3 linked regions of the Macaca mulatta genome follow. The main gene of each other region encodes a partner of the protein of the gene in region 2 in a complex. Links are inferred from orthologs where the notes say so. Each region holds a gene or a part of one and is shown on either strand. Other genes may lie near its edges. The genes, in order: CNOT6L, CNOT10 and CNOT6.

The links.
Region 1: CNOT10 (region 2) and CNOT6L share a complex: the UniProt entries of both Homo sapiens proteins name them as parts of the CCR4-NOT complex. The link is inferred for Macaca mulatta from reciprocal best matches to the Homo sapiens genes CNOT10 and CNOT6L.
Region 3: CNOT10 (region 2) and CNOT6 share a complex: the UniProt entries of both Homo sapiens proteins name them as parts of the CCR4-NOT complex. The link is inferred for Macaca mulatta from reciprocal best matches to the Homo sapiens genes CNOT10 and CNOT6.

Annotation. Positions count from the first base shown.
Region 1 is NC_133410.1:56,078,889-56,085,675, reverse strand, and holds part of CNOT6L (CCR4-NOT transcription complex subunit 6-like), read right to left. Parts: intron 4,380-6,787; coding exon 4,167-4,379; 3' UTR 1-4,166. UniProt on the Homo sapiens protein: Has 3'-5' poly(A) exoribonuclease activity for synthetic poly(A) RNA substrate.
Region 2 is NC_133407.1:15,845,910-15,853,185, reverse strand, and holds the start of CNOT10 (CCR4-NOT transcription complex subunit 10), read left to right. Parts: upstream 1-3,282; 5' UTR 3,283-3,445; coding exon of another isoform or gene 3,446-3,467; intron 3,468-7,276. UniProt on the Homo sapiens protein: Component of the CCR4-NOT complex which is one of the major cellular mRNA deadenylases and is linked to various cellular processes including bulk mRNA degradation, miRNA-mediated repression, translational repression during translational initiation and general transcription regulation.
Region 3 is NC_133411.1:189,586,638-189,593,424, forward strand, and holds part of CNOT6 (CCR4-NOT transcription complex subunit 6), read left to right. Parts: intron 1-799; coding exon 800-1,030; intron 1,031-3,177; coding exon 3,178-3,380; intron 3,381-6,544; coding exon 6,545-6,757; 3' UTR 6,758-6,787. UniProt on the Homo sapiens protein: Poly(A) nuclease with 3'-5' RNase activity.

The sequences.
Region 1 (6,787 bases), on a different chromosome or scaffold from region 2:
AAAAACCATTATTTTCCAAAAACTGGTCAGCATATTTTGCAAAGCTATTAAAATACCTCAGAAACAGAATTTAAAAGGTTAGAATCAAATAAGCATTGGGACACAGTTTTATCATTAGAAAATCTAGCCATGTATTATGAATGACATAATGATATGGTTATATGTCTCTGGTTCTTCAAAGAACATATTTAGCCTATTCTTCCCTGTGCTTTCTATACTCTGCTGTTTCATACTAAAAGTATAGATGGCATTAGTGATTTTTAGAAACGCTTGGAAATGCAAATACAAACTTAAATTTTCACCCATTTAACAATATAAACTTAGAATTTTAAAATGGAACACTATATTTGCCCATGTTCCAGTTTTAATGTGCCACATCCTCAATGCTAATATAATCTATCATAGAATCAAGTGATATGAGCCTTAGATATCTTTCAACTTTCTCCCTTGCTTCTCTGTGATTTAATATATAACTTTAAGACACCAAAAAATACGGGCAAATAAGAAACGGAGCTTTTATATTTTTGCCAACTACACTAAAACACAGTGGCTTCTTTAATACATTCACACAGGATGCTAATTAGTAAAATTAAATATCTGCCTATGAATATCAGAAAAGTAATTTGAAAAGAAAGAGCTTGGAACAAGGCAAATGGGAAGGGAGGAAAAGCTGGTCTCAGAACCCATTGTGCCATACCTGACTTCAACATGTGATATTCAAACGAATGTTCACACGCCTTACATCAAAGAAATGAAACAAAAATATTCAGCTATGTTATTATACAAAATTTTTTTTTACATAAAACATCATAAATCTGGAACAGATTTACTATATCTGAATTCTAAAAAGTTGCCTATAGAATGGTGCTGGGATTCTGTTCTCTGCTTGCTTTTAGGCAGTGCTGTTGCTTAAAAGTTGACACCAGGCACAATATTTTAAAACAAAATCAACAAGCAAGGAGCAGTAGGTGGATCTGAGCCTTTCCCAGATGTCAGGCCTGAGGATGCTGCAATATTCCCCATCAAAATGTGTAAAGCTATGAGGCGGATACTGATGCCTGAGAGAGTGGGTGACTTGACATGCACTTGTATGACTGTAATAATGGCAAACAGTACAGTTTTCTCTTCCTCAAACAATACTGTTTTAGTAAATTTAAAGAACATTCCAGTTCTTAGACAAATATCGAAATATTTAAGTTTTAGGAAAAACATGTATCACATTCTGAAAATGCCCAGATTTTTTTATCTTCTGATTAAAATATGCAGCAGCCCAAAGGCATAAAGCTTAACTCATTCTGATAACTAGAAAGTATATGAGAATATATATTTTACTTTCATTGAATATATATATGTCATTCACCTCTTCCTTTTGGCTTCTCACTGCCAAAGTTCCAAATGGCATGCGTTTTAACAAGACAATGCTGAGGAAAGCAGCATTTCTGATCATCTGAATTGGCAGCTCAAAACAGATACCACTCCTTTTACAAAGGGAACAGAGGGTGAAGGGTATGTGAAATTTGGGCAGTGGGCTAAAGGGAAACCGTGCACATGAAATTTGGGTTACCATGCCCCAAGTGTGTACCACCCAAAACATAACACAATTACCTACTTCAACAGAGCTACTACCAACATTTACTAAAACCACATTAAAAATACACAGGATAATGAATGGTTTGAAAGAGCGCATTTGAAGCAGAGAGAACCCAATTACACACCTTCCTGCAACAGAGTGCCTCGATCATACACAAAATAAACTTAAGCTGTTTACAACGTTTCCCATTTTTTTTTATTTTTTCCCTCTACATTTAACTATTAAAAAAGTTTTTTATTAATAAATGGGCTCCTCTGTGGTTCATATACAATCATAAGTGAACTTTAAATTCCATTTTATACAAACATCTCAAAAAATATTGGGAGTGAAGTATGGTAGGAAATATTGCTCACATTGCTAATTAACATGCGTATATGAAAGGAGGAAAATGTTTTGTTAGTGCATATACCTCCAGAGCAGAAAACCCACCCAAAACAAAAGATCTAAAATAAAACATACAGTAGCTGATTACAAAAAAAGGTAATGTCCACAAAATTAAGTTTTTCATGCTATTCTACTTTCCAGTACTATGCTTCAGGTAATCAATTTGCATGGCTAGATGTTGCATACTTGAGGTATATAAGAAGGGAAACCTGCATGTTGAGGAAAATCTGTCATCTTAAGGGTTGTTTCTTTTTGTTTATTCTGGTACTTTAACATTTTTAAAAGAATATTTACATCAAAATTCACTGAACTACAATGACATTCCAATTATAACAGATGACAAACAACGCCTCTATCACTAGGCACTTTTAAAAGGGAGTTTAGGCTTTACAGAACCCTTCTGATGCAATCCCATGTATGATATGACATCATCCCACCACCCTCGTCCCACTAAAATTACCCTTCTGGGGAAATATTATCTTATATAGCCTGATTAATTTACTATGGAAGAAATTAGCATAAAATGACCAAAGTAAATGTATCATTTAAGACCAATAAAACAGTCTAAGATGTCAGGTTTGAAAGAGGAGACAAATTGTGTACATTTAAAACTAATTAAATAATTTAAATTTGACCTGTACTTTATATATTAGTGAGACACAAATATAGGCTATTGTCTTTTAAAATTTCATTCGCATAATGGAAAATTTCTTGTTTAATAAAAATATCACATTTTGAGACTAGAAACAGTAAAGTGCATGAAAAGTTTAAAATATAAATTTCAGAAAACTCTTATAGCAGCAAAAAAGCAGAATAAAGAAAAACTTAAAAACACAGACACAACCTTTTCCTGTTACTGTGCCATAATTAACATCAAGTAGCGAACCAATTATTCCCCAGAAAACAGTATTCTGTTCACTGCCTCTTGAGTCACAGATTTTCAACTGGCCCCTCTTAGGCAAAAAAAAGATTCCAACATACCTAAAGGCATCAACAATTGGGAATAAACCAGTAGCTTCTTAATTCAACCCTGACAGACAAAGGAAACAAAGATTAAAAGCATATGATGGCCATTTGGCAGCTAGAGTCAGGACAATGGCCCAAGGTTTTCAACTACTGCCCCAAATGTGTTCCCTCTCTCCCAAATCCTTTGCACTGTCATCTCAAAAAAACCAACAGCCCCATAATCTATGTTGGAAACACATAAAGTATCTGTATGATTTTCCCTATCTGAAACTTTGATCAAGGTCCTTTTATTCAGATTTTCTTTAACATTTGACTATAATGGCAAAAATGATATAGGTCATATAACATCTGTTTTCCTGGCACAACCGAACAGAAAGAAGGTTGAATTGGAGTAAGGAAAAATTCATTCTGTGGGCATCCTAAATGTACCGCATTCTATTTTCAAGGTATGTGGCAATACAGATTACTTACTCTTTCTCTATAAATAAACTTGAGAGACAGGCTTAGAATTAATACTTCCAACAAGGTTATATAGAGAGGACAAAAAAACCAAATTGATTCCTCAAAAAAACCCCAAACTAGCATTTGGCCAACAAATTGTCCTGTGGTGTTACATGCTTGATTATGAAAGCATATTGTACAACCATCTTTAATTTTTCAAATTCTCTTAAAACGTGTAGAGGCTATCTCATAGTTTATGTACAGAATGAGCAAATTTAAGTACTCTGTTAATGTGCAAATGACTTGGGAATCCAAAAATCAGTTATAAAGGAAAAATTCAAGGTTTTTCCTGGAAGGCATATCATCATTCAGTTTAAAATACTGTATTTATAGTTTTTAAAAATTGCCTTTTATAAAATGGTTGGCTCACTGAAACCACTCAAAAGAAAGTATTTGTTTTGGAAAAACAAATACACTGTTGTTGGGCCTCAAATTGGTAATTTATCAATTTTGAATGCTGGCTCTTAATACAATATAAAGGAGGAGGTCCAATTTAAAAACATGTTAAATTAAAATTTTGGAAAGAGAGTAATACTTTGGTTCCAGCCCTACTGCCAAATGATACCAATATGCACAAAAATGTACAAAGTCTTACAGCAAACACATAATGAAAGAAACCTGAAGAAGCAGCTTAAGGATGGCCATACTTCACTCCTACATACTTTGATTTACAACTGTACAGGTCCATAGCAACAGATCCCCGTCTTGGCGGGGCAGTACTCCACTACCTCCGATTAGGCAAGTGAACACCATTGACAAGAGGCAGGAGTGGAGGGTGGAGTTCAAGTTGTGTTAACAGTGAGAAGTGGTCTGAAGGGATGTGAGGGTGTGGACACCCAGTGATGTTGTTCTCAACCAGCCATTGAGGATCTAAAGGCCCCAGGACACCAAGCACGTTCATATGAGTCTTGGAATAGAAAATGTAGTCAATCACGCCCTGGAAAGAGATTGGGGATAGGAAGAAAAGAAAAATTCAGGATATATAAAGAACAATCCATAACTTATAAAAAACAAAAAACTGAGTATCTTTTCTTTTGGTACCTGTTGTCTTGATAGTGGGTCAAGTAAGACTCAAATCTTCAATGGGTATTACATGAAATAAAGGTGGCTCAATAGGGAAACACAGCATGCTACTGGAATTATAAATCCTTGCATTTGTGTGTAAGTGATAATTTGAGAAGCTAAACACATTAAATTATGTCCAGTTATCTTTAGAATTGGCCTGCTTGGTTTAGTGAAATCTAACATATCAGTATAAATATAATGGAACCTGTACTAATCCTATTGGCTATAATAAGTAGAAAATAAGAATATATAAGCGCATACATAGTTAATGGTATTATTTTCAATTATTTGCATATCGAGATATCCAAACACACCTGGCTGAAGCTGTAGTAAACCATGTTTATGAATTTGCTAATCCTAGTTTAGCTTTCCCAGATTTGCTACATACATACAAAACACTACACAGTTAGTTAACTGTCCTATTCTTAATTTAAAATACTCATTTTCACAAATACTAGAATATGTGTAAATTCTGGATTTCCTTCCTGCATAAGGATAACTCAGCAAAAATCATTCAGCAGGAAGCCATACATAGCAGTTTTATCTCTCAGAGCTAAATGACTTGATTAGTCTGATCAGTAAGTCTCAAAACCAGGGGGCTTTTATTATCCCAGGTTGTGTATGCAAGAGAGCAAAATCAAATTTCTTCCTATCTAGTTCCTATTCATATCAGGACAGCCTGAGCCCAAGGAGGGAGAAATATTTCTACACCTGTAAAAACCTATTTACAAATACTATACACGAGTTCCAGCCAATACTTTAAAAAGTATTATAATGAAACGGGCTACTTAAAACACAAAAACTTTTAATGAAAACAAATTTTTATATTGTGAGATTTTGGACACAATCATTTCAGTTTGTTGATTTTCATTTGACCAATATCAAAACACCAAAACTGCTCCTCTCCTAAGAGAGAAGATTCAGGTGCAGTGTCTCATGCCTATAATCCAACCCTTTGGGAGGCGGGGGCAAGAGGATGGCTTAAGCCCAGGACTTCAAGACCAGCCTGGTTAAACATAATGAGACCTGGGTTTTTACGAAAAATTCAAACATTAGCCAGGTGTGGCGGCATGCACCTATAGTCCCAGCTACTTGGGAGGCTGAGGCAGGAGGCTCACTTGAGTCCAGGAGTTTGAGGCTACTTATAATTGTCCCACTGCTTTCCAACCTGGCTGACAACAAGACTCTGTCTCTTAAAAAATAATAATAATAAAAGAAAAGAAGCCCTTATCCAACCCTACTTTACCACAAATTAAGGAACTTACATGAGTCCAGGGGACTCCAAGTTTAAATGGTCAAAAAATGATAGGATCATAAGGTATTATCCCTTCATTTTGGTTATATGCCTAGTTTTACAGTTTTACAGTGATATTTCAGAAAATGAGTTAACAAGGATCAGGGTAATTTTATTTCTCCTTATGAGACAACTTTTTGCTTCAATTCTAAAATAAAACACATGAAATAATCTCAATTACTTATGTGGAATAAAACCTCCTATAAGGCCGGGCACAGTGGCTCATGCCTGATTCCTGTAATCCCAGCACTTTCAGAGGCCGAGGTGGGCAGCTCACTTGAGGCCAGGAGTTCATTACCAGCCTGGCCAACATGGTGAAACCCCATCTCTACTAAAAATACAAAAAAAATAGCTGGGTCTGGGGGCATGCACCTGTAGTCCCAGCTCCTAGGGAGGTCAAGGCAAAAGAATTGCTTGAACCTGGGAGGCAGAGGTTGCAGTTAACTGAGAATACACCACTGCACTCCAGCCTGGGCAACAAAGCCTCCTATATCTTACAACCTTATTAGAGCGCCATCATGCACATCAACTGCTAGAATTCTTTGCAAAGGTAGGCCCCAAGAAAAAAATGTTAAACACTCCAGGAAGTAAGATGTTTTTAATTGAACGCATCACTTGTAATCATTCTCTTGGTTTGAAATATCCGGAGTAAAAACTCTTACCAAAACCCTTAGCCAGGTTATGTCTGAATTCACCCAACGTATTTGTACATATACACCTATGAGAAGGATCCCTAACTTTGATCATAGGCACAAAGGAGGTTACAGACTAATGATTTTTAACCCTTTTGAGTCAGTTTCTTTTTTAAAAGATATAATACTAATAATGTGGGAAAATGCACTCTTTATATTAGTAAGGACTATTATTGTATAAGTCTATAGAACTGTATTTGGAAAAAAGTCAAAACACAACGAAAATATTAATAGTCTGAGTTACCATTATGCTAAGCTTTGTTTTTTAAAAGAATGCCAGAAAATTACAATACC
Region 2 (7,276 bases):
AAAACCAACATACATGTGACCACATGTGAGAAAGTGAAAGGGGGACTAAGAAAATAAAAAAAAAAAAAATAGTTCTGTTAGTAGAATGTTCCCAACTGGACACAAACAGCACTCACAGAATATGAACAATGTCCATAGACAGTTTCACCATGATCATGTTTTGGACAAGACAGAAACAAGGCCCTCAACAACCATAAAAATGAGAAAACATCCCCTTCTTCTAATATGAGTAATTCTGGGTTTTTTTGTTGTTGTTGAGAAAGAGTCTCGCTCTGTCCCGCAGGCTGGAGTGCAGTGGCGCAATCTTGGCTCACTGCAAGCTCCGCCTCCCGGGTTCGCGCCATTCTCCTGCCTCAGCCTCCTGAGTAGCTGGGACTACAGGCGCCCGCCACAGCGCCCGGCTAATTTTTTGTATTTTTTAGTAGAGATGGGGTTTCACTGTGGTCTTGATCTCCTGACCTTGTGATCCGCCCGCCTCGGCCTCCCAAAGTGCTGGGATTACAGGCGTGAGCCACCAAGCCCGGCCTGTTTTTTTTGTTTGTTTGTTTGTTTGTTTTTTACCAGTGACAGCTGTAGCTTGCTTTGTTCCTCCTTCTGTTTAGATAAAACCAAGACTGAATTGCCTGTTTCCTAACAGCATCCAATTCAAATTTGGCCTCCTACTTTCCCAATCCCGTTAGCATAAGCCCAAATTCTATAGGAAGTTCCTCCTAATTCCTTCTCATTAAGAGGCTCCCTACTACACTTCAGGTGTGCATTTTTATTATTTTTAATTATTTATTTATTATTATGTATATATTTATTTTTGAGATGGAGTTTTGCTTTTGCTGGCCAGGCTGCAGTGCAATGGCACGACCTCAGCTCACTGCAACCTCCACCTGCCGGGTTCAAGCAATTCTTCTGCCTCAGCCTCCCAAGTAGCTGGAATTACAGGCACCCGTCACACTGTCCAGTTAATTTTTGTATTTTTTTGAGTAGAGGTGGGGTTTCACCATGTTGACCAGGTTAGTCTCAAACTCCTAACCTCAGGTAATCTGCCTGCCTCGGCCTCCCATAGTGCTGGGATTACAGGAGTGAGCCACCGCACCCGGCCAGGTATGCCTTTTTATGGTGGGCACATATTCATCAAAAGTCATACTAGAGTATTCATATTGGCCATATTTGAAATAGATATAATATCCAAATGCCCAACAACAAAATGAATACATAAATTAAGGAACAGTCACATAATGTAACATAATAATATATGTAACAATGAGAAACAAATACAACCTCACTCAACAATGTGAATGAATCTCATACTATCAAGCAAAAGAAGCTAGATCCTAAAACATATATTGTATAATGTGTATTCATTAAGTGTAAAAGCAGGTGAAACTAATCCATAGTGTTAAATGTCAGCATAATGATTATCTTTGTGGAGAGATGGGAAGAGGCATGAGGGGAACTCCCAGGTACAGGTAAAGCTCTGTCCTTTCTCTGGGTGCTAGTTACATGTATTCGTTAAGTTGATGAAAAGTCAATAAGCTGTACTTATGATTCATGCACTTTTCTTTGTGTATGTTAGCCTGAATTTAAAAGTTTAAGAAAAAACAAATACCTTTTTTTTTTTTTTTTGAGACAGAGTCTCACTCTATTGCCCAGGCTGGAGTGCAGTGGGGCGATCTTGGCCCACTGCAATCGCCGCCTCCTGGGTTCAAGCGATTCTCCTGCTTCAGCCTTCCAAGTAGCTGGGATTACAGATGCACACCACCACGCCCGGCTAATTTTTGTATTTTTAGTAGAGACCGGGTTTCACCATGTTGGGCAGGCTGGTCACGAACTCCTGACCTCAAGTGATCCACTGGTCTTGGTCTCCCAGAGTGCTGGGATTGCAGGCATGAGCCGCCGCGCCTGGCCAAAAACAAATACTTTTTTAGAAGAAAGTTTAAAACAAAAGTTTTTTTAAAAAAAGAAAAAAACAGGTATAAACCTGAAAAATCTCCCAATTAACAAAGCTGGGACAGTTTTAGCAACAAAATAATGTAGTATTGGAATGTAACCAGTATAAGATAAACATCCATGAGTCCATACTGATACAAATAGCTAAATGAGGGAGAAGAGGCAAATTTCCCTGGGGGAAGATAATTTATGTACATACTCCCCACTGCAGGAGGTTGAGCTTAAATACCCCACCTTCCCACCTTGAATGTGGGTTGCATTTATTGACTTGGTTCCAAAGTAGTGTGGAAGGGTAGGAGGAGTAACTTCATAGCGGAGAAAACTGGCAAGCACTACCTTAGAAAGGTAATCAAGGTTAACATGATCAGTGATGTCATTTTGAGAGCAGGTACCTTTGATTCTATGTGATGAGAATAGCCAGTAACCTTGTGGTCTTCCTCCTAAACACCCAAAACCCCAGTCTAACCATGTGAAAAACATTGGCCAAACCCAAATTGAGGCACATTCCACCAAATATCCGAGAAGTAACTCTTCAAAACTGTCAAGGTCATCAAAAACAAGGAGAATCTGAGAAACTGCCACAGCCAAAAAGAGCATAAGAAGACATCATGAATAAATGCAATGTGGTGTCCTGGACAGGATCCTGGAACAATAACAAAGAAAGGACATTGAAAGAAAGCTGGTAAATGTGAATAAAATGTGTAGTTTAGTGAGTAATAATGCACCAATCAAACTGGTTTATTGGATGTGATCAACGTACCATAGTAAAATAATTAAGATGTTCATACTAGGAGAAACTAGGTGAGGAGACAGGAACTCTAGGTGTCATCTTTGCAACTTTTCTGCACAACTACAACTATTCTAAAATAAAAAGCGTTTGTTTTTAAACGGGGATCCTCAACAGCGCCTCTCTCACGGGGTTGCAAGAAATCATGAGATAGTACAAACCAAGTGCAGGGCTCAGTGCTTAGCACATAAATGTCAGATATGATTACTGTAATCTTATGTGACATTGAGGGACAAAAGCTCTGACACTTTGGTATTTTAATCAGAATAACCAAAGGACAGAGATGCTTACGTCCCATCGCATCCGCCCTGCGAACATGCAGAGGTTCCAGCCAGAGTACGTCCGGCCGGGGGCGGGGCGCGGAGGGGACGTCGGCGTGGGGCGGGGCCAGCAGCAGTTCCCACGCCGGCGCTCCAGGCGCGGCAGGCTGCCGCCCCCGGAAGTAGTGGGTACCGGGACGCCGTGGGGCGGAAGCTGTGGATGGCGGGAGGCTGTGGCGCTCTCTGGGTGGGGAAGCTGTTGCTGTTGCTAGACGACGCGAACTAGCGCTCGTCACTTCCTCAGCCAGCCGTCTGCCCACTCCCCAAGCCGGAACCTGAGGGCCCAGAGCCGGGGTAGGCACAGAGTTGTCCTCATAGGTCCAGGACAGCGGCCAGCCCGGCGGCGGGAGTCAGGGCCACGCCACCTGCAGGGAAGAACCCAAGCCGAAGCGGGAAGATGGCTGCAGACAAGCCTGCAGGTAGGACGCCAATGTCCCGAGCGACGAGACGGCGGGACGTGCGGGGCCGGGCGGACCCTGAACTCGGAGGCGCGGGGCCCCGGATGGGGACTCCAGGGCGACTTGAATTTGGGCGTGCATTTCTTTACCCCATCCTCTATCTCGGCTGTCGCTAACATGAGTCTTCGGGCCCCGGGTCCAGTAGTTGTTTTACTCAAGTGCAGTGTGAAGTCGCTGCTGGCCGCCTTTGCCCTGCTCTCCAGAATAACTCCGGCCCAAAAAGCTTAAGTGTATTTTGCCGCTTCGCAGAATTTTCCGCTTCTTCGTGGGAAAAGCAGACAAGAGAAAGTCACCCTGGAGCACACATTTGCCTATATCCCGTGGTTCAGGCTGGGATTCACCTGGGCTGTTCTGGCCACACGTGGCTTCGTCTGGTCATTGACTTCTATGGAATTAACTTTGTAAAAACCACTTTTTTTTTTTTCCTTAATAGAGACGGGTGGGGGTCTCGCTCTGTTGCCCAAGCTGATCTCGAACTTCTGGGCCCAAGCGATCCTTCCGCCTCGGCTTCCCAAAGTAAACCACTTATTTAAATAGGCATATTGCCTCTCTACAGTCTATGCTTGTAAAATCTTGGGTTTGGTACCTAATTGCCGTAGTTCCTCGAAATTACTTAATCTCGATGGTTTTCTTTATGGATTATTGCTCCCATTCCTAGAATCTTCCCCATTAAGGAATATAAAATTATTTCCTGACCGTGTCCGGAATGTTTCCCGCAATAAATTAATATTCTTTGTGGCATCCAGGTTTTATTGGAAAGAACTTAAGTGACAGAATTTAAAAGTGATGGAACTTAAAATTTTTACAGTGAATTTAGTATAAAATCTCAGTATCCTGTGGATTTTAGTAGGTTCTGATCGCAGTAACTGACAAGTGAACTTCACTTGGAAATTTAAGCCAATTATATTTTAGGTACAGAGGAATAAAAATCGTTAGAGGATCTCTTCAATAATCTTCTAAGAAGAAAAACAACAGAACAAAGACCTAGAGAGGGTATAAGGAATGTGCTGTGAAATTTTGGATAGGTTGATCAGGGAAGGCCTCTGGTGAGATATTTGAGCAGATACCTCAAAGAAGTGAGGGAATGAGCGGATACGGAATGGGGAAAGGTGGATGAGGGAGAGACTATTAGACAGGAAAGAGGCATGGCCTGTCCAAGTCTGGACAAGGGGACCAACATCCTCCTGATTTTAGAATGGTGTCTGTGTTCCCCACATTTACCATTCCTACTTGCTCATACCATTGCGCTTGCCCGAAATCACCTTGTTAGACCTAAAGCCTATCCAGTTTTCAAATCCTCAGTCATAAAGTCTTCTACTCGTTCATTTATTCATTCGCAACGATTGAGTGTTGAATAATAGATGTGACACACTCCCTGCCTTTGAAGACCTGCTGTTCAGTCTGTTGGAGGAGACGGACATATCCTAGCTGCACTCCTGTTTAGTAAGAGCTGTGTAATGTGTGTAGTTGAAGAATAAGGTCCACAGGGATTAGGAGACTGTTTTATTCGTTGGTTTAAGTTCAGAGGCCATGTTGAAGGAAACTTCCTGCTTAGATATAAGGTTAAATTTGTATAAAATAGATGAATGTTTAGTGTGGCTCCTTTGAATTTCTGCTCATGTCCATCTCAACTGCTGTGTTTCTGGCCTTTGTCTTTTAGTATGATCTATGTCGCACTAAGTAGTCTCACTGGTGTTTGTCTCTTGTCTCTTCCTATCCCATCCATTTTCCTCACTGTCACCCTGCCCCCCCCTTTTTTTTTTTTATCCCCTAAGGCATTCATTGAATCCTATCATTCCCCTTCCTATGAAGTTTTTAAGACTGTACATGCTTTGGGCATCAAGTCATTCTTTTTATTTAATTTTTATTATATTTTCTTTCTCCTTTTAAGTCCTTTTTTTTTTTTTTTTGAGAGTCTCCCTCTGTTGCTCAGGCTGGAGTGCAGTGGCAGGATCTTGGCTCCCTGCGAGCTCTGCCTCCTGGGTTCCCAGGTTCACATGGTCTCCTGCCTCAGCCACCCCAGTAGTGGGACTACAGGCACCCACCACCACGCCTGGCTAATTTTTTTGTATTTTTTAGTGGAGATGGGATTTCACGTGGTAGCCAGGATGGTCTCGATTTCCTGACCTTGTGATCCTCCCGCCTCGCCCTCCCAAAGTACTGGGATTACAGGCGTGAGCCACCACGTCGGACCGTCCTCACTCTTTAATGTGGTTTGTGAGCATCTTCAAAATCTATTTCCAGCTGGTTTTTCTATATCAACCTACCCAGCTCTTCACATCATAAATTACTGTTGCAAAGCATTGTGCTTTTTGAGCTTCTCAGCCGTAATGTCCTTTCTCTTCTCAGTCTGTTGAACACCATTCATTCAAAGTCTGTCTTACACGCTGCTTCCTCTCTCAGCTCATGAGGTCAGTATCTTTGTCATGGAGGGTCTTGTGTGTGTGTTCTTCATCAGGTAAGAAAAAAGGGTCATGAAAGGACCTAAGATGAGTGATCTGATCACGCTGAGAGTTGTAGATGGTGGATTTAAATGAAGCAAGATGGGAAGCCCAGAGACCACCTAAGACGAGCTAATGTTGTGATATTAATTTATTCAGTAAATATTCACCAATGGCCTGTTTTGCCAGGTACTACTTTAGGAACTGGGCAGGAACAAAACAAAGTCTCTGTTCTGGAGCTTATGTAGTATGAAGGACAGATAAGCATGTAAACAAAATGAAAAATAAGATGATTTCAAGTTGTGATAGATACTCTGAGGAAGGCTGAGTGTGGTGGTTCACGCCTGTAATCCCAGCACTTTGGGAAGCTGAGGAGGGTGGATCACCTGAGGTCAGGAGTTCCAAACCAGCCTGACCAACATGGTGAAACCCCATCTCTACTAAAAATACAAAAATTAGCTGGGCATGCTGGCCCACATCTGTAATCTCAGCTAGTCAGGAGGCTGAGGCAGGAGAATTGCTTGAACCCGGGAGGCATAGGTTGCAGTGAGCCGAGATCGCGCCACTGCACTCCAGGCTGGGTGACAGAGTGAGTCTCTATCTCAAAAAAAAAAAAAAAAAAAAAAATACTCAGAAGAAAAAAATGAGGAAGAGAGGCTGTCTGCAGTTGCTTACGCCTGTAATCCTAGCACTTTGGGAGGCTGAAGTGGGAGGGTTGCCTGAGGCCAGGAGTTTGAGACAATCCTGGGCAGCATAAGTGAAACCCTGACTCTAAAAAATAAAAAGCCAAACATTGTGGTATGTGCCCATAGTCTCAGCTCCTAGGGAGGCTGAGGTGGGAGGATTGCTTGTACCTAGGAGTTAAAGGCTGCAGTGAGCTATGATCAGGCCACTGTGGGCAACAGAGTGAGACCCTCTCTCAAAAAATAAAATAAAAGGCCGGGCATGGTGGCTCACGCCTGTAATCCCAGCACTTTAGGAGGCCGAGGTAGGCGGATCACAAGGTCAGGAGATCGAGACCATCCTGGCTAACACAGTGAAACCCCTTCTCTACTAAAAATACAAAAAAATTAGCTGGGCGTGGTGGCAGGCACCTGTAGTGCCAGCTACTCAGGAGGCTAAGGCAGGAGCCTGTGAACCCGGGACGCGAAGCTTGCAGTGAGCCAAGATTGCACCACTGCAGTCCAGCCTGGGCGACAGTCAGACTCCATCTCAAAAATAAATAAATAAATACAATAAAAATCAGTAAGAGAGTTGGGCGCAGTGGCTCCGCCTGTAATCCTAGGACTTTGGGAGGCTGAGGTGGGCAGATCACCTGAGGTCAGGAGT
Region 3 (6,787 bases), on a different chromosome or scaffold from region 2:
ATAAATTAAAATAACTGCTCAGGGGTAAGAACTCCATACACGTTTATAATTTTTTGGCAGCAAGGATGTCCTGTAAGCTGACTTCTTTTCCTGATCTGTTTAAAATAATCATTTTATTAGCTGGCTGTGGTGGTAGGCGCCTGTAATCCCAGCTACTTGGGAGGCTGAGGGAGAGAATTGCTTGAACCTGGGAGGCAGAGGTTGCAGTGAGCTGAGATTGCCCCACTGCACTCCAGCCTGGGTGACAGAGTGAGACTGCTTCTCAAAAAAATAAATAAAGAAAAATATAAAATAAAATAATTATTTTAAAGGTCTTGAGTTTGGGATAAATGGACCACTTCAAATTGAAAGTATATTTCAAGTGACCATTATGCTGGGAGCTGAAACTTGTGTCCCTTGAGGAACAGTTGGAACTGGAGATATTTAATGTGAAGTATAGAAAAAATGGAAATAGGACTTACATCTAAGAAAACGGGTTTAGATGTAATTTTGTGAGGCTTGATTTAGGACATCCAAACTAAGACCAAAAGTTTCAAGGAGACAGAATTTTAAAAATCAAGCTGTCCCAAATAGGGCTGTTTTTGCACAAGTAGTGAATGCTCTGTGCTGGAAGCATCAGCCCAGGTTTAGGCGTGTATTTCTCAGATTTGTTGTAGGGCACGTTCAGTCATCCGATGGAAATTTTAGGTGTCTTTTCTATTCTGGGACTCTGAGAGATTATTTGCCCAGACGCTGTAAGAATATATGGGCTGATGGGTGGGTTTTGTCTCTTTCTTTGTTTCGTTTTTATCTAATGTAGCTGGAAAGCCACATCTTGGAACAGAAAAACAGCTCATTCTCGTGGCCAATGCGCACATGCATTGGGACCCTGAGTACTCTGATGTGAAGTTGGTGCAGACTATGATGTTCCTCTCAGAAGTGAAGAACATTATTGATAAAGCCTCTCGCAACCTCAAATCCAGTGTTTTGGGAGAATTTGGAACTATTCCACTTGTGTTATGTGCAGATCTTAATTCTTTGCCAGACTCTGGTAAGAAAATAATGTGATTTTATGTAGAATATTTTTTGACATAAAATGATTTAGTAATGTTTTGTTTCTGATCATTCCAAATTAAGTCCAAATAAAAATTCAGTTTGTAATGGCAGCTATGAGCAGGTTTTAAACGTCACGTTGGGGTGGAGGGGCCATTTTGAAGATGAAACGATATTGTGGAAGCTTGAGGAGAAGGATGTTAATCATTTTGAATAAACACATAACCAATAACGTGAAATAACTCTTTAAAGAACGTATGTAGTTCCGTTTTATTACCCCCAAGTCAGAGATAATTATGGTATTGAGACAACCCCTTTGGGATTCCAGCATCTGGTAATATAATCATAGTTTAAATTTGAGTTAAAATTAGGGAATCTCAATTTTGCACGTATTTGTAACTTGATTAGAAAAATACACCTCAAGTAGAAATTGAGCTCCTTTATTTACACACACATCAGTCAAGCGATTTTAACAAAGAGCAAGGATCTTGATTATTAAAATGTAGAATACAGAAAGCCTGATCTGGAATGCTCTTTCCATAGATAGTATGCAATAAACAATAGCCCTTGTAATAACAAACTGTTTCTTCCTTTTCGTGTTTCCACTCATTTGTACACACAGGAATACTTCTCCTTGGACTTGAGTGTATGCGTGAACACACACACATGCGCATTGGGAAACACATTATTGACATCACAATAGATAGAGCCATTAGGAAGAAAGAAAACCCCAGCACGTTGGGGAGCCGAGGTGGGCGGATCACTTGAGGCCAGCAGTTCGAGACCAGGCTGGCCAACATGGTGAAACCCCGTCTCTGCTGGAAATACAAAAATTAGGCAGGCGTGGTGGTGCAGGCCTGTAATCCCAGCTACCCGAAGGTTGAGGCACAAGAATGACTGGAACCCCGGAGGCAGAAGTTGCAGTGAGCCAAGATTGTCCCACTGCACTCCAGCCTGGGTGACAGTGAGACTATCTCCAAAAAAAAAGAAGAAAAGAAAGAAAGAAACTGAGTTAAAATTCGATTTCAGGCCGGGCGCGGTGGCTCACGCCTGTAATCTCAGCACTTTGGGAGGCCGAGACGGGCGGATCACGAGGTCAGAAGATCGAGACCATCCTGGCTAACACAGTGAAACCCCGTCTCTACTAAAAATTCAAAAAATTAGCCAGGCGTGGTGGCGGGCGCCTGTAGTCCCAGCTGCTCGGGAGGCTGAGGCAGGAGAATGGCATGAACCTGGGAGGCGGAGCTTGCAGTGAGCCAAGATCACGCCACTGCACTCCAGCCTGGGAGACAGAGCGAGACTCCGTTTCAAAAAAAAAAAAAAATCGATTTCAGGGAAAATCAAAGCTATCTAAAATCTGTAATTATTTCATTTCATCAGGTTGTCTGGAGATTACTGCTGCTGAAGCAGTTGAGTAGTAGTCTCTGACAATTTCTCTACATGCTTTCTACTTTCTGTGTAGCTACAAAGTATCTGAGGGGTAAAGAGAAAATCTAGTCACACATTAATACCCAAGACCCATTTCAGCATTGAGAAATACGATATTGTAATAGCAGGCAGGTCAGAAAATGTCCAGCCTTGCTAATTTGTGAATAAAATGCAAATGAAAGTTTATTTTCAGAGCCCATCTATGCTTAGTAAATTGGGAAAATACTTGACTAGGGATGTGGACGCTTGCTCTGTAACTAGCTGGTGGTATTCTGTTCCATAGCTGGCAGTATCGTAAAATGGCACATTCAGTCCTAATCTTGGGATTTTATACCAAGTAAATAATTGAGCATAAGCAGGAAGTCTGCATACTAAGATGTTGATTGTGGTGTTATCTTTAATTCTTTGTAAAAAGTGGAAACTACCTGCATTTTACAAAATAAGTAACCATAAATATTATCCACCAGCCCAGTTGCATTGTGCATTAAAGAATGATAATTGGGAAGACACATGTTCATAAAGCAAAGTATAAACTATTCAGTATTCTGTGATTACAGCTGTGTAAAAATAGATTTGGACAAGTCCTGGCAAATGTAAAAGGAAACATTTTGGAACATGGGAGTATGTAGTTTAAAACTTTTTACTATTGCATGATCTTTTAAAATTACTTTTTGTTTATATTATATTTGACAGTAAAAAAAATTGTCTTCATTGTAGGTGTTGTAGAATATTTGAGCACGGGTGGAGTAGAAACAAATCACAAAGACTTTAAGGAGTTGAGGTATAATGAAAGTCTTACCAACTTCAGCTGTCACGGGAAGAATGGAACCACCAATGGAAGGATCACTCATGGTTTCAAGTTAAAGAGTGCCTATGAGAGTGGCCTGATGCCTTACACAAATTACACGTTTGATTTCAAGGTGTGTCTTGAGACTGATAAGTTTTTCAAACCTCTATTTTACTGGCAAGTCTGCTGATGCATCATTATGTCTTTAAAAATGTGGATGTGTGTTCAGACTGGAATGAAGCAATCTTGAATTGATTGACAGCAATATTCTTTGTTTTTGGTTTGAGACAAGGTCTCACTCTGTTACCCAGGCTGGAGTGCAGTGGTACAATGATGGCTCACTGCAGCTTCAACCATGTGGGCTCCAATGATCCTCTCACCTCGGCCTCACCAGTAGCTGGGACTACAGGCGCCTACTACCATGCCTGGCTAATTCTTGTGTTTTTTGTAGAGATGGGGGTCTCACTATGCCCAGGCTGGTCTTGAACTCCTGGCCTGAAATGATTCTTGCACGTCAGCCTCCCAGCGTGCCGGGATTACAGGCGTGAACCACTGTGCTCAGCCAGTAATATTCTTTTATTACCTTCTTTAGAAGTCCACGTGATTGCTGTTATATCCTTACTTTGTAGATATTTATTCTAATATTTTTCAGGATAAGAAGTCAGATGAAATAATCTGTAAAATTCCTGAGTTGACTTTTTCACCTTTTGGGGACAATTATGTTTTTGGTTTTTTTGAGACGGAGTCTTGCTCTGTCGCCCAGGCTGGAGTGCAGTGGCCGGATCTCGGCTTACTGCAAGCTCCGCCTCCCGGGTTCACGCCATTCTCCTGCCTCAGCCTCCCGAGTAGCTGGAACTACGGGCGCCTGCCACCTCGCCCGGCTACTTTTTTGTATTTTTTAGTAGAGACGGGATTTCACCGTGTTAGCCAGGATGGTCTCGATCTCCTGACCTCGTGATCCGCCCGTCTCGACCGCCCAAAGTGCTGGGATTACAGGCGTGAGCCACCGCGCCCGGCCGCAATTATGTTTCTTATATTCTCCTTACTAATAGCTAGATATACAGCACCATAGTAACTAATTTGGGTGACATTTGGGGTAAGACGTTCCGTCTCTTAACATTTTAATTGAAACTAAACTCTTGCATGCCAAAATGTGGTTTATGTTAGCCATTTATAAGTGTTTCTAAGATACATCTTTTTTTACCCCCCAGAGAATCTTACCCTGTTGCCCAGGCTGGAGTGCAGTGGCACGATCTCAGCTCAGTGCAACCTCCACCCAGGTTCAAGTGATTATTATACCTCAGCCTCCCAAGTAGCTGAGATTACAGGCGCCTGCCACCACACCTGGCTAATTTTTGTATTTTTAGTAGAGACGGAGTTTCACCATGTTGGCCAGGCTGGTCTCGAACTCCTGGCCTCATGCGATCCACCCATCTTAGTCTCCCAAAGTGCTGGGATTACAGGCGTGAGCCATCGCCCCTGGTCAGACTATCATCACTTTTTTTTTTTTTTTTTTTTTTTTTTTTTTTGAGACGGAGTCTCGCTCTGTCGCCCAGGCTGGGGTGCAGTGGCCGGGTCTCAGCTCACTGCAAGCTCCGCCTCCCGGGTTCACGCCATTCTCCTGCCTCAGCCTCCCGAGTAGCTGGGACTACAGGCGCCGCCACCTCGCCCGGCTAGTTTTTTGTATTTTTAGTAGAGACGGGGTTTCACCGTGTTAGCCAGGATGGTCTCGATCTCCTGACCTTGTGATCCGCCCGTCTCGGCCTCCCAAAGTGCTGGGATTACAGGCTTGAGCCACTGCGCCCGGCCTATCATCACTTTTAACATTAGCGATTGTTTAGGGCTGTCACTTTCTTGTGTTCAGCTGTCCTTCTTCTAAAAAGAGATGTCTCACTCTGTTGCCTAGGCTGAAGTACAGTAATGTGATTATAACACACTGCAGCCTCGAACTCCTGGGCTCAGGCAACCCTCTTGCCTCAGCTTCCCCACTAACTAGGACTACAGGTGTGCGCCACCATACCCAAATCATTTTTTGGGGTAATTTTTTGTAAAGACGGGGTCTTGCTATATTGCCCAGCCTGATCTTGAACCCCTGGCCTCAAGCAGTCCTCCTGCCTTAGCCTCCCAAAGTGCTGGGATTATAGACGGGAGCTACCGCATCTGACTCAGCTGCCTTTTAAACTACTTGTTGCATTTCTGCTTTCTCAACTCCCAGCTTTCTGTTTCTAAGCTGCTGGAAAAGTAGTCATTTAGATTAGATTGTCAGAGTGTAAATAAGAGTTTAGACAGTATCTCAGGAGCTCTTGCACCTTAGAGCACAGAAAGTAAACCCCTGTTGATCCTCAAGTGCCCCTTCCTTTCAGATTCTTCAGGAGACATTGAAGAGAAGGCATGGGTATAACCAGAGGGTGGGAAAGCTTAGGGTTTTCTTTCTCTTTCTGTTGCTGATACAGAGGCAGGAAGAAGATACTTGACTGTCCTTCAGGACATTTGGCCAAGAGCATGTCGAGGAGAGGAGCAGAACCATCAGATGGGAACAGTTTATTAGATGCCATGGCGGGGTGCTGCTGAGAGAAAAGGGGGTCAGGTAGAGACAGTCCTGCTCTCGTGGAACTGAGGTGTGATGAGAGACAAGTCTCAACCACACAGATGAATAGATAATTACACCTTGAGATGGCCATTAGCAAGGGAAGTGAATCAGTGGTGGGAGGTAGGGTGGCTAAGTAGGTAGGAGCAGGATTCAGGAAGGTCTTTGGAAAGCAGTTGAACTTGACATTGAAAGATTAAGAAGGAATTGACCTCATAACAAGTAGAAGAAAGTGTTCCAGGCAGAATGGTGGCGGGGGAGAGAGAGAGAGAGTGTGTGTGTGTCTGTCCTGGGGCAGGAAAGAGCTGGGTGGAGCACATGTCCGGGGTGTGTGTGTGTCCTGGGGCAGGAAAGAACTTGGTACCTATAGGTTCCCCTCCCATCCTCACCCCTTTCTAACTCCAAAGGCTAGTGCGGCAGCAGGGAAAGTGGCACAAATTAGTCTAGGAAAGAGAAGCAGAGGCTGCATCCTGAAGGGTCTTTTAGGTCTTATTAAAGTTCCAGATAAGAAGAATGCTTCATTCTGCTCGATTTGACATTTTGCAAGGGGACCATTTGGTATATGTAGTACACACCTCATCCTATAAGCTAGTAAGTTTCACTTGTTTTGTTCTGTTCACCAAACATGACAGTAAAGACGTGTCTTGAAAGCACTCAGGATTTTAGGGTTGTCTTATGTGGTGCTTATCTTTTTTTCTGTTGTTTTTCAGGGTATAATCGACTACATTTTCTATTCTAAACCTCAGCTGAACACCTTAGGCATCCTGGGCCCTCTGGACCACCACTGGCTGGTTGAGAATAACATCAGTGGCTGCCCGCACCCCCTCATTCCCTCTGACCACTTCTCACTTTTTGCACAACTGGAGCTCTTACTGCCTTTCCTGCCCCAAGTCAACGGCATCCACCTTCCTGGCAGGAGGTAGTCAAGCACCTTCAGAGGACAGCCTTGATTC